2 linked regions of the Caenorhabditis elegans genome follow. The protein of the gene in region 1 interacts with the protein of each later gene in a pairwise test. Each region holds a gene or a part of one and is shown in the gene's direction. Other genes may lie near its edges.

Region 1 (5,213 bases):
AGTTGAAATTTCTCCTTTTTTCTAAAATACAACGATTTCTTGTTAAATTTTCAGTGTAGTTTTCTTCCTCAGCACACTGAGAGCTTCAATTTTACCCTCATATCGGCTAATTTTAACAGTTTTGGGTCCCACCATGAAAACTACAGTACCCCTTTCGTGGTGGGACCCGAAATTCTCAAAGCCGGCGGAATATAGGCATGTTGGGGGTCATTTGAAAGGTCTCGGTGAGCTGAATACGAATTTAGAGTCGATTTTTTGCCGATTTTCAAAAGTTTGCAAAAAAAATCCAGAAAATTAATTTTTTAGTATTTTTTAAATTTTTTTTTAAGGATTAAAACAATTTATGATAAAAAAGAGCAAAAATGCAAAACTTCATTCCAAAAAAAAACTCAATTATCCCTTAATAAAAGCAGCCAAAGGAATATACGGGAAAACTATAAAATTGCAAAAAAAAGCGAAAAAATCCGAACATCAAGACCAAACTGCGTACGATAAAAGCCAAAAGATCTAAATTTTGATTTTCCGGTCAAAAAGTATTTGAAAATTTGAAATTTGAATTTCCCGCCAAAAAATATTTATTACGTTTCCAGCCTCAAGATTTCAAAATATTTACAAAAAATTGAAAAAGAAAATCCAAAAAATTTTGAAATTTCTCAGTTTTTTTGAAAATTTAACTGATTTTTAGCTTTTATGGCAATTTTCTTCTTTAGCTCACTGAGAGCTTCAATTTGACCCCAATATCGGCTACTTTCCGCCATTTTTAACACTTTTTGGGTCCCGCCGCGAAAACTACAATACCCCGTGGGCTTTCGTGGTGGGATCCCAAAATCCTGGAAGTCGGCGGAATATAGGTTATTTGAAAGCTCCCGGCAAGGCAAATGCAAATTTGATGCCGATTTTTAAAAATTTACAAAAAAAATTTGAGAATTTGACGATTTAAAAAAATAAAAATTCAGATTTCTGAAAATTCCCAATTTTTCCGAAATTTCAACAGAATTTTCAATTTTTAGTGCAATTTTCTTACTCAGCTCATCGCGAGCTTCAATATGACCGCAATATCGGCTACTTTCCGCCATTTTTAACACTATATGGGTCCCGCCACGAGAACTACAGTAACCCTTTCGTGGTGGGACCCAAAATTATTAAAGTCGGCGGAATAAAGGCATGTTGGGGGTTATTTGAAAGGTCTCGGTGAGCTGAGTTCAAATTTGAAAATGAAAATTTCCAGAAATGGGTCTCGACGCGAAAAAAAAATTTGGAAAAATTTTCAAAAAAAAATTTTATAAATTTTTTTTTCAATTTTTTTTCATTTAGTTTTTTGTTTATATTCAGGTAATAGCATGTATTTTTCGAATAAAATTTTTTTTACTACCGCTGCTCACAGTGGCAATTAACCTTATCTACGTATAATGATTATTGCATAAACTAATCTAAAAATAACCGAATTTTTGACCTCTTACGTGGAAAAACCAAGAATTTCCGAGTTTTCAAAAGATGATTTTAGCTGGAAAAATCACAGATAAAAAGTAATTTTACAACAACAACGAAAAAGCAATTTCATGAAAAAATTCCAATTTCTCCTGCTAATTTTGCTCTGCTTTTCGCAATTTTCAATGGCTTTTCCGAAAAAATGCTTCGATACTAATTTGGAGGTGAGTTTTTCAGATTTTTTCGGATTTTCAGGCCATAACCCCGAATTTCAGACCCAAAACTGTGCTGCAATTGAGTTATGGTGCATCAAGTTTGACAATGAGACACGTGGCTGCACTAATGTTTTTGATTATTGTACCGAATCGGAGCCAGGGTAGGTTTTTGTGCTTTTTCGTCATGAAATTCGTGTTCTCCGTAGTTTTTCACCTCTAGAAATTAATTTTGAGCCAATTTGGTGAACATCGGCGTTTGCGTACTTTTGAAGCTACAGTAACCCGCCAAAGCAGGAACTTTTTTTTAGAATATTTTCAAGGCTTCTCGTTATGAAATTCGTGTTCTCCGTAGTTTTTTACCATATAAATTTAATTTTAGCCAATTTGATGGTTATCGGTGTTTGCGTACTTTCGGGGCTACAGTAACCCCTGCGAAATTTTGAAAAACTCAAATTTCGCGCCCGATGCCTGAGAACATGATTTTAAGGCTAGAATTTGGCGTAGAATTTGAATTTTTCAATAGTTTTCTTCAAAAAATAACTAAAAATCCACAAATTTACAATTTTTCTCAGGTGTTATCAGAGACGTGGTGTGAAATGGTGCTGCTGTCGTGATGCATTGTGCAATTTGGCGTCATCTTCAGTGTTTCTAGTTTCGACTGCTTTTTTTATTCTGATTTTTGGAATTTTCCTGTAATAAAAAAATAAAAAATTTGTTGAATTTTCTTTTTTTTTTTGGATTTTTAAATTTTTGAAAAAAAAGTCTTTTTTTGCACTAAAATGACAAATTATTAATACATCAATAACCATATTTTGGTTACTACACAGATCCCCGCCAAATCTGATCAAAACCCATTGAAAAACACGATTTTCACACAAAACATTCGGATTAGGCTCGACTATAAAAAAAATGCGGAAAACATTGAAAAATTGACACTTTTCTGTTGGAAAATGAGACTTTTTATAACATTTTCACTATTTTTAACTTTAATTTATGGAATTTTCGGGCAAAGTTTGGATCCGATGGAGCGTAAGTTGAGAAATCTGAATTTCCCCCAAAAAAATAATTGGAAATTTGAATTTCCCGCCAAAAAATATTTGAAAATTTGAATTTCCCGCCAAAAAATATTTAAAAATTTGAATTTTTGCATTTCCCGCCAAAAAATATTTAAAAATTTGAATTTTTGCATTTCCCGCCAAAAAATATTTGAAAACTTGAATTTCCCGCCAAAAAATATTTAAAAATTTGAATTTTTGCATTTCCCGCCAAAAAATATTTGAAAACTTGAATTTCCCGCCAAAAAAATATTTAAAAATATGAATTTTCGAATTTCCCGCAAAAAAATATTTGAAAATTTGAATTTCCCGCCAAAAAATATTTAAAAATTTGAATTTCCCGCCAAATAATATTTGAAAATTTGGATTTGCAGCCAAAAAGCATTTGAAAATTTTAATTTTTGAATTTCCCGCCAAAAAGTATTTGAAAATTTAAATTTCCCGCCAAAAAATATTAAAAATTTTGAATTTTTGCATTTCCCGCCAAAAAATATTCGAAAATTTAAATTTCCCGCCAAAAAATATTAGAAAATTTGAATTTCCCGCCAAAAAATATTTGAAAATTTGAATTTCCCGCAAAAAAATATTTGAAAATCTGAATTTCCCGCAAAAAAATATTTGAAAATTTGAATTTCCCGCCAAAATAATTTGAATTTTTAAATTTCCCGCCAAAAAATATTTGAAAATTTGAATTTCCCGCCAAAAAATATTTGAAAATTTGAATTTCCCGCCAAAAAATATTAAAAATTTTGAATTTTTGCATTTCCCGCCAAAAAATATTCGAAAATTTAAATTTCCCGCCGAAAAAGTATTTGAAAATTTGAATTTTTGAATTTCCCCCCAAAACCAGAAAATATTTGAAAATTTGAATTTCCCGGCAAAAAATATTCGAAAATTTGAATTTACGTGGCAAATACGCTCCACTGGCAAAGCAACACTGCAGCAACTGCGCTCTATTGACAAAATTCTTAAAATCTCGAGTTTTCGCAGTTTTTTCATGATTTTTGACGGAAATATATGAATGTTTTTCGTATATATGTTGCAGCAAATGCGCCCCATTGATAAATTGCTTTAAAACAGCTGGTTTTCGGCGGGAAATTCAAATTTTTTGTAGAATTTTTGCGAACATTCAAATTTTCAGCTCCATCTCTTATGGAAAACAAGACCATCCAACTTTTCGGGAATATTACGGGCGGCCCAATCGAATTACACTCACAAACGGGATCCCGTCGACGTCGTGACACTGTAGAAAATGCCGGAAAATCTGCTTGGGACACTGCCGGAGATGTGGGTAAATCTGGTGAGTTTTAGCTCTGAAATCAGAGGTTTTTGTCGTTAGAGCGCGTTTGCAGTCCAACGGGGCGCATTTGCAACCCAGCTGTTGCAGTCGTCCAATTTTTAAGACAAAAATTATTGAAAATGCTCAAAAACTAGCTGAGTTACCAGTGATTTAAAGAATTTTCATCGTTAGAGCGCAATTGCAACACTCATTTTTTGCGATAGAGCGCATTTGCATTTCTTAGCTGTAGTTCTATAAATGTTTCATATTTGAAGACAAAAATTACTTGAAAAAACCGAAAATTCGGCAATTTCCAAAATATTTCTCATTGGAGCGCACTTGCAGACCCCGGAAATTCAAAAATTTTCAATTTTTCAGTTATTGATACCGTTGAAAACGCCGGAGCAGCTGTCAAGAATGGAGCAAGTGATTTGGACGAAAAACTTATGGGATCTGGATAAATATTGATTGGAATTGTAAAAAAAAATAATTTATTCGAGGAAAAAATCAATAAAAATTGAATTTGAAACAAAATTTTTTAAAAATCAATAAATTTAGACAATTTCCTCGCTGGCGACGAATGGCGGCACATCGGTCAGTGTTTCAAGATCCATCTGAAAAAAAAAATGTTGAATTATTGATTTTTAGGAAAATATCGATTTTTCGAAAATTATCGATTTTTTAGAAATTTTTCGATTTTTCTTAGAAATATCGTGTTTTCCGAATTTTTACCACAAAAATATAATTTCTAAGGTCTCGACAGGATTTCGACACCAAATTATCGATTTTTTGAAGGAATTATCGATTTTTTTAAAATGACGATAATTCCTTCGGAAAATATCGATTTTTCAAAAAAAAAATCGATTTTTTGAAAATTATCGACTTGTTTTAGAAATTATCGAATTATTCGGAAATTATCGATTTTTTGGGGATTTTCGATTTTTTTTTAGGAATTATCGATTTTTGGAAAATTGCTACTTTTAGAAATATCAATATTTTCATAAATTACAGATTTTTGGAAATTATCGATTTTTCGGAAATTATTGATTTTTTTAAAGGATTTTGCTGAAAATATCAAATTTTTAGGGTCTCGACGCGATTTCAGCCTAAATTATCGATTTTTCAGTGAAAATATCGATTTTTCACACCTCCTCAACAGCAAATTTCTCCAATTGCTCTCCGTGACGTTCTCGAGCTTTTTGAATTTTTGCGGAAATATTGCGAATTTCATACGGA
Region 2 (6,583 bases), on another chromosome or scaffold:
AATGAAGCTGCAAAAGCAGAAAAAGCAGCAGAAAATACAATTAAAAATATCATTACTCTTGGAGATGATGAAGATGATGCACCAGAAGTTGGAAATCAGAGAAGAAAAAGTGGAAAAAAGAATAAAAAGAATAGGAAGAATCAAAAGAAAAATGATTTTGAAGCAGCAGTTATTGAGAAGAAACAAGTAGAACCGATTGTTATTGATGACGAAGAAGAAGTCAATTCCTCGCTTCAGAAGAAATTTGATGCTTTGAAAGCTGAAAATGAGAAGCTCAAGGAAATCAATAAACAAATGTACGAATTTGTTGCCAAGGAGATTGTTGATAGCGAAAAATAGATTTTTTAATTTTATTCTTGCTTTTCCCTATTTGTTACATTGTTATTGGTGTTGCTGTTGATCTTTTTCTGTTGTTTTTGTTTTAATATTGATTAAAGAAACTTCAAAATTAACCTATTTTCAAATATCAATAATCGGTCAATTGGTCCGTTGAATTCCTGAAAAATATTTTTATAAATTTAATTTATATTTAAAAATTTTCAAATATACTTCCAGATGACGTCCGCTAACATCCAAATGGCAGTTTACTGCTTTGACGTCATCAACGCCCAATTGAATCGAGAGAAGGAACCTCCCGTGCCAAAAGAGATCCCTAATGTAAAATTGTAAGCAAGATTTCAGAAAAATCCCCGTTATTTCGTTAATGAATCAAGTTAATTTCTATATTTTAACATTAATTTCTGATAAAACAAATGAGAACTGCAGAAAATAATTGCCGACCGACCACCTCTAAATAGTACGAATCAAAAATCGAAGTTTAATCAATTCTCAAATAAAAATTCGTTTTTTCCAGACCACTATTTGTCACATGGAAGAAGGGACATCAACACGATTTACGCGGATGCATTGGAACTTTCTCTGATTTAAGGTAGAGTTTTTCACTATTTAAAACATTATTCAACAATCCAATTTATTACAGATTGGGTGAGGGGTTAAACGAATATGCGAAGACCAGCGCTTTCCATGATTCACGATTCAAGCCAATTAGCCGGGAAGAAGTTCCAAGTTTGCAGTGCGGAGTGAGTATTTTCACTTTTAAATTGCATTTAAATGAAAGTTTGTAGGTTTCTCTTCTAATAAACTTCGAGCCAATTCATAATTTTCGTGACTGGACAATCGGTCGTCATGGAGTTCGAATGAATTTCGACGATGGTCATCGCAATCGGAGTGCCGTTTTCTTGCCGGAAGTAGCTCAAGAACAAGGATGGAATCATGTGGAGACAATTGATCATTTAATAAGAAAAAGTGGATACGGAGGACATATTAATGATGCTCTTCGGTCAGCACTTCGAATTGTTCGCTTCCAAAGCTCCAAACTTGTTCTGGATTATAAGGTGAATATAATTATCCGGCGTGTACTCCTCTCGGTCAATTAATTAATTAATTGTTCTGGATTTTAAGCGATTTTGCATTTCCTCATGATAGTATTTGTGTTTTTCTATTAGAAATTAAAAAATTTAAACATATTTTCGTATTTTCGATAGTTTTCATCAAAATAACAGAAGTTATGACGGTTTTAAAGCGTTATTGGTCTGCTATTTAATGTAAAACGCAATGTTATATTTGTTCGAAAACAAAAAAATTCGAAAAATCAAGCAAAATCATGAGAAAACACGAAAAATTGCCTAAAATCCAAAAAAATTAATTCATTAATTGCCCGAGAGGAGTACACGGCCGAGAAATAATTATCGGCCATGTACTCCTCTCGGATAATGAGTAAATTAATTTTTTCTGGATTTTATGCAATTTTTCGATTTTTCTCATGATTATTCGTGTTTTCTATCAAAAATTAAATGCACAAATTGTCCGAAATAATTCAAAATATTTTTTATATACAATTTCTCTAATTTTCAGGATTATGTAAACTACAAACAATCGCACGGACTGCCACTACCACGTTAATGATCTCTTTCTATGTATTTTTCTTTCAAATTCCTGTAAAATATTCTGTATTATGATTGAAATAACTGTATAATAACTGAAAATTCTGTAAAAATATCTAAAATAATCTAATAAATTTCTATTTTTTTGAAATCCGTTTGGAAAAAATATTTAAGTGTTTCTAACCGCACTAACCACTATCTTTTCAATTTATTTTCACCACTTTTTGCTTTTGCAACTTTTCCACTTTCTAACCACTCTCATAATCTTCACAGAATGGCCGACGCAGTTGCACCAGCAGCTGCTCCCGAAGCAGCTCCGGAACCACAGCAAGGTGGCGGAATTTGGGGAATGATCAAGCAAGCAATCACCATTTATTTCGTAGTTTCCATGGTTTCTGTAAGTTGATCTGGACATCTTAATTTGAAAAATGAATTCAAAAAAATTGAAGGGATTCTTCCGGCCATCGTCGTCGCCTGGAAATGATGGAAATGTGACAGCATCTACTGCTGGAAATGGAAATAAAGCGATGAATATGTTCCCAAATCATCAGATTTTTGATTTATACGTTTACATGGATGATAGTGTTAGTTGACTTGGAGAAAAAGTTGAAAATATCGGAATTTCCAACAATTTCAGGATCTCCCATTCAGACAATTCGATTCAGCACCAGAAAAGTTGATTTGGATGCGAAATGGAATGAAGTATGATGATTGGATTAGTGGTGATAATGAAGTTTGATAATTCTCTAGATTTAATTAATTTAACTTCGTATTTTCTAGGACGGCAGTCACACAATTCACAAAAACTTCCCAACTCCTGCTGCATTGCTCCGTAATGATTCCCTCTGGCTTCACACGTTCATCGTTAAAGCTGGCCAATCACCGAATCCCAAGGATCGGAATTATTTCAAGAATCAGGTAAAAAAACTAAAATTTTTCATTTTTTTAAATCTAAAATTTAAAAATTCAACATAAAACTGGAAAATTTGGAAAAAAAAAATTATTTAGATTAATTAAAAAAATTGTACGAGAATTGTATAGATTTATCAAAAATATGCTAATTTTTATGTAAAAAATATAACAATTAATTTTTGAATTCGTTTCCAAAAACTGGAAACCGAAAAAATCATTAAATATTAAAAAAAATTAAACATAAAAAAAACTGTAAACTTTTTTTGTGGAAAATATGTAGGTAGACTTTCAGTTAAAAAAAAAGAAAAACTAGCCGGAAATTTTTGAAAAAATTGTTTTTTTTCTCAAAAAACGAAAATTCGAAAAAATACAAAAAAAACATTGAAATTTTTGGATTTTCCGATTGTTTTGAAAACCCGACACGAGGATTCTATAGATTTTTCAAAAATATGTTGAATTTTATGTGAAAAAATAATTTTTTTTAAACATAGAAATTATTGAAAATTTGGAATTTTTAACTCAAACAGTCTCTGTTTGTTTTGGGAATTTTTTGGAAAAAAATGTTTGGAAAGTAGAGAAATTACCGGAAATTATTGAAATTTTTAAATTTTTTTTAGAATATCGAAAATTCGAAAAAAAAAACCAATTTTCGATTCTTTGGAAAATCTAAAAACACAATTTTTTTTGTGAAAAATTTAAAAACCAACATTATCAAGAAGAAAAAGAAGATTAGTTCAAGATTAAAATAAATTTCAAAAATATATATTTCAGATCATCTATAAATCATATCAGCTGAACAAGTACAAGAAGAAGTATTATCGAAAAACTTCAAACTTGTTGACTGGTGAGAGTGAGCAGAGTGATGAGGATCTTGCCAAAGCTCAGATTATGAAATATGAGGTGAAAAATCTAAACAAATATCGAAAATTTTGGAATTATTGTCAATTTTTGCAGGTTCTCAATCACTGGCATCCAAACATCTCAATCTCTTTAGTCGTTGATCAAACTCCATGGGCTCGTGGCCAAATTCCACCACCACTTAGTGAAGATATTGAATTTAATGAAGACGGAACCATCTACAAGCCTATTTTATTCTATAACAATTGGTGGAATCTCGGAGCAGATTATCAACCGATCAATGAAACTGTCAAAGATCTTAACTTGACAATTACCTACTATCCAATGTCAGTGTTCAAATATCAAATGTACGCAAGTCAGCGGATGCAGTCTCAATGGCAATCAATGTTATCTATGGATGGTGCAGATATGGATGATGATGGCCATGATTCTATGAAACAAGCACTTCTAGAGACTAATCCAATCCTTTTGGCAGTTACTATGATTGTTTCACTTCTACATACCGTATTCGAGTTTTTGGCTTTCAAGAATGACATTCAATTTTGGAATAATCGAAAAGATCTCGTCGGATTATCAGTTCGATCTGTGCTTTTCAACATCTTCCAATCACTGATTGTTTTCCTTTATATTTGTGATAATGAGACAAATACAATGGTGAAAGTTACAGTTGGAATTGGTTTGCTCATTGAATGCTGGAAGATTCCGAAGGTGATGAATGTATCCATCGACTGGCAGAACAAATGGTTCGGAGTGATTCCACGTTTGGTTATCAGTGATAAAGGATCATATGTAGAGAGTGAGACGAAGATCTACGATCAAATGGCATTCAAATACCTCGGATGGGCACTTTTCCCACTTCTTGTCGGATATGCCATCTATTCTGTAATCTACGTTGAGCAAAAAGGATGGTACTCCTGGGTACTCAATATGCTCTATGGATTCTTGCTCACGTTCGGATTCATTACCATGACACCTCAGCTGTTCATTAACTACAAGCTCAAATCAGTGGCTCATCTGCCGTGGCGTATGCTCACTTACAAATTCATCAATACGTTTATTGATGATTTGTTCGCGTTTGTGATCCGGATGCCGTTGCTCTACAGAATTGGTTGCTTCAGAGATGATATCATTTTCCTGGTGAGAAAATGTCGAATAGATTATGAGGACGCAGAAAATTGCACTTTTAAAAACGCTCCTCCCCAAAGTATTGGGTCTCGTTTGGAATTTTATTTCAAAACCACAATTTCGCCAAAAAGAACGAAAAATTCTTGAAAATCGGTGAAACTAATTGAAAACGTTTGAATTCACGGATTTGCTGCCAAATTACCAACTAATCTATTGCTGTGGAGCGCGCGTGCACATCGATTTCAAAAATCTCATTTTTCTGCGTCCCCATAATACCAAAATAACTTTAATTAAAAAATAATATTAAAATTTCCAGATCTACCTCTACCAACGCTGGGCGTATCGCATTGATCCAACTCGACTGAACGAGTTCGGCACAAGCCTCGAGAAGGAAACTGGAGCACCGGCGCCGACGCCGGCCGTAGAAGGATCTTCTGAACCTTCCCAGGAGCCCGAGCATGAATCAGAACCAAATTCAGAGCATGCAAAAGAAGATAAAAAGACAAAGTAGAATTTACTTGATTTTTTTAATATATTAAAGCAAAACTATTGTTACGGGAATCATGTCTTCCGATTTACTTGTCGTCCATCTCCCCATCTACTTTTTGTTTCCAGTCGTTAGTGAGATTTAAATCCCCTGAACTTCTCAATTATATATTTCCTGTTCTCTTTGAATTCTTTAATTTATTTGTTATAAACTTTTCTTTATTAGAAAAAATAGTTACAATTCAAGTGCATAAGAACCATGTAAACATTTTTGGGGAGAAAGTGGTGATGGGTGGAGGAGACTAGTAGAGTTGTAAAAATCTGTGAATAAAATGGACTGAAAGTGTGGCAAACATTTAGGCAATTTTTAGAAAATCTTTTTTTTACTATTCAAAGAAAAAATGACGGGATTATTCAAATTTTTGGAGCAAATTAGGCCATTTCGAATGACCGGAAAATTTGAAAATTTGATCTATTCAGAAAAATCTTTGAATTTTTTGAATTTTCACTGCATTAAATGCAAAATTTTTGTGAAAATCCTATGGGCTTTTCGCTTCGAGACCCAAAAATTTATAAAAGCAATCAACTTGCAATGCATTGGATGCGAAATTGAAGTTTTTCAGTTTTGAATTCAAATTTCTTTCTCAATAGAGCAAGACAAACATATTAAATATTTTTAAAAAATTGGAAAATGGAAAAAAAAATTATATTTAAATTATCTAATTGGGGGCGGGGCCGTGGGCGTTGGTTTTGGAACCGAACTGTGTTTAGACTCCCATTATATGAGAGCTTGGCATTGGTTTTTGAAAAACCGCCGGAAAAATGGGGGGTTTTTTGAAAACTAGACAAAAAAGTGATAGGAAGAGAAGGAAATTATATGACTCCGAGCGAAGGGGGCGGGAATTTAAATTTAAATTCAAATTCCCGCCTTGTGGGGTACAATAGAGCGTGTTTAGAATGAGAGAATTTTCGAAAACTAATGAGAATCACAGGAAACCGACCAGCGGGAGGTGTTGCAAAGATCACGAGGAAAACAAAAAATATGGAAATCCGAGCTTCAAGATTCCGGGAGCTCACCCTTCATTTTTTCGATTATCGCCGCCCATGCTTCCGGTGGAATTGGTGGCTGAAAAAAATCGATAATCAAAAAATGTTATTGTTCAAATGCAAAGTTTTATGGTTTTTGGTCTCGACATGACTGAAATAATTTGAAGAAAAAAGGGTATGCGTCTTTAAAATTACAGTAACCGTGTTGTATT

Evidence for each region. Proteins that work in one complex are often made in the same cells at the same time.
Region 2: the proteins of Y48G9A.7 (region 1) and R166.2 interact in a two-hybrid assay, tested with the Caenorhabditis elegans proteins (one large-scale study listed by BioGRID).

The regions. Positions count from the first base shown.
Region 1 is NC_003281.10:2,107,963-2,113,175, forward strand, and holds Y48G9A.7 (Late embryogenesis abundant protein D-29-like), read left to right. Parts: upstream 1-2,586; 5' UTR 2,587-2,593; coding exon 2,594-2,672; intron 2,673-3,839; coding exon 3,840-3,998; intron 3,999-4,355; coding exon 4,356-4,438; 3' UTR 4,439-4,506; downstream 4,507-5,213. Other genes in the region: Y48G9A.11 (C2H2-type domain-containing protein), read right to left, coding at 4,532-4,591, 5,126-5,213.
Region 2 is NC_003280.10:10,533,305-10,539,887, reverse strand, and holds R166.2 (Cleft lip and palate transmembrane protein 1 homolog), read left to right. Parts: upstream 1-2,216; 5' UTR 2,217-2,217; coding exon 2,218-2,340; intron 2,341-2,392; coding exon 2,393-2,527; intron 2,528-2,580; coding exon 2,581-2,676; intron 2,677-2,723; coding exon 2,724-2,861; intron 2,862-3,626; coding exon 3,627-3,755; intron 3,756-3,809; coding exon 3,810-4,850; intron 4,851-5,154; coding exon 5,155-5,349; 3' UTR 5,350-5,556; downstream 5,557-6,583. Other genes in the region: Pre-rRNA-processing protein pro-1, read left to right, coding at 1-339; R166.3 (AMMECR1 domain-containing protein), read left to right, coding at 556-665, 854-928, 980-1,079, 1,125-1,394, 1,915-1,962; NAB transcription cofactor mab-10, read right to left, coding at 6,382-6,450.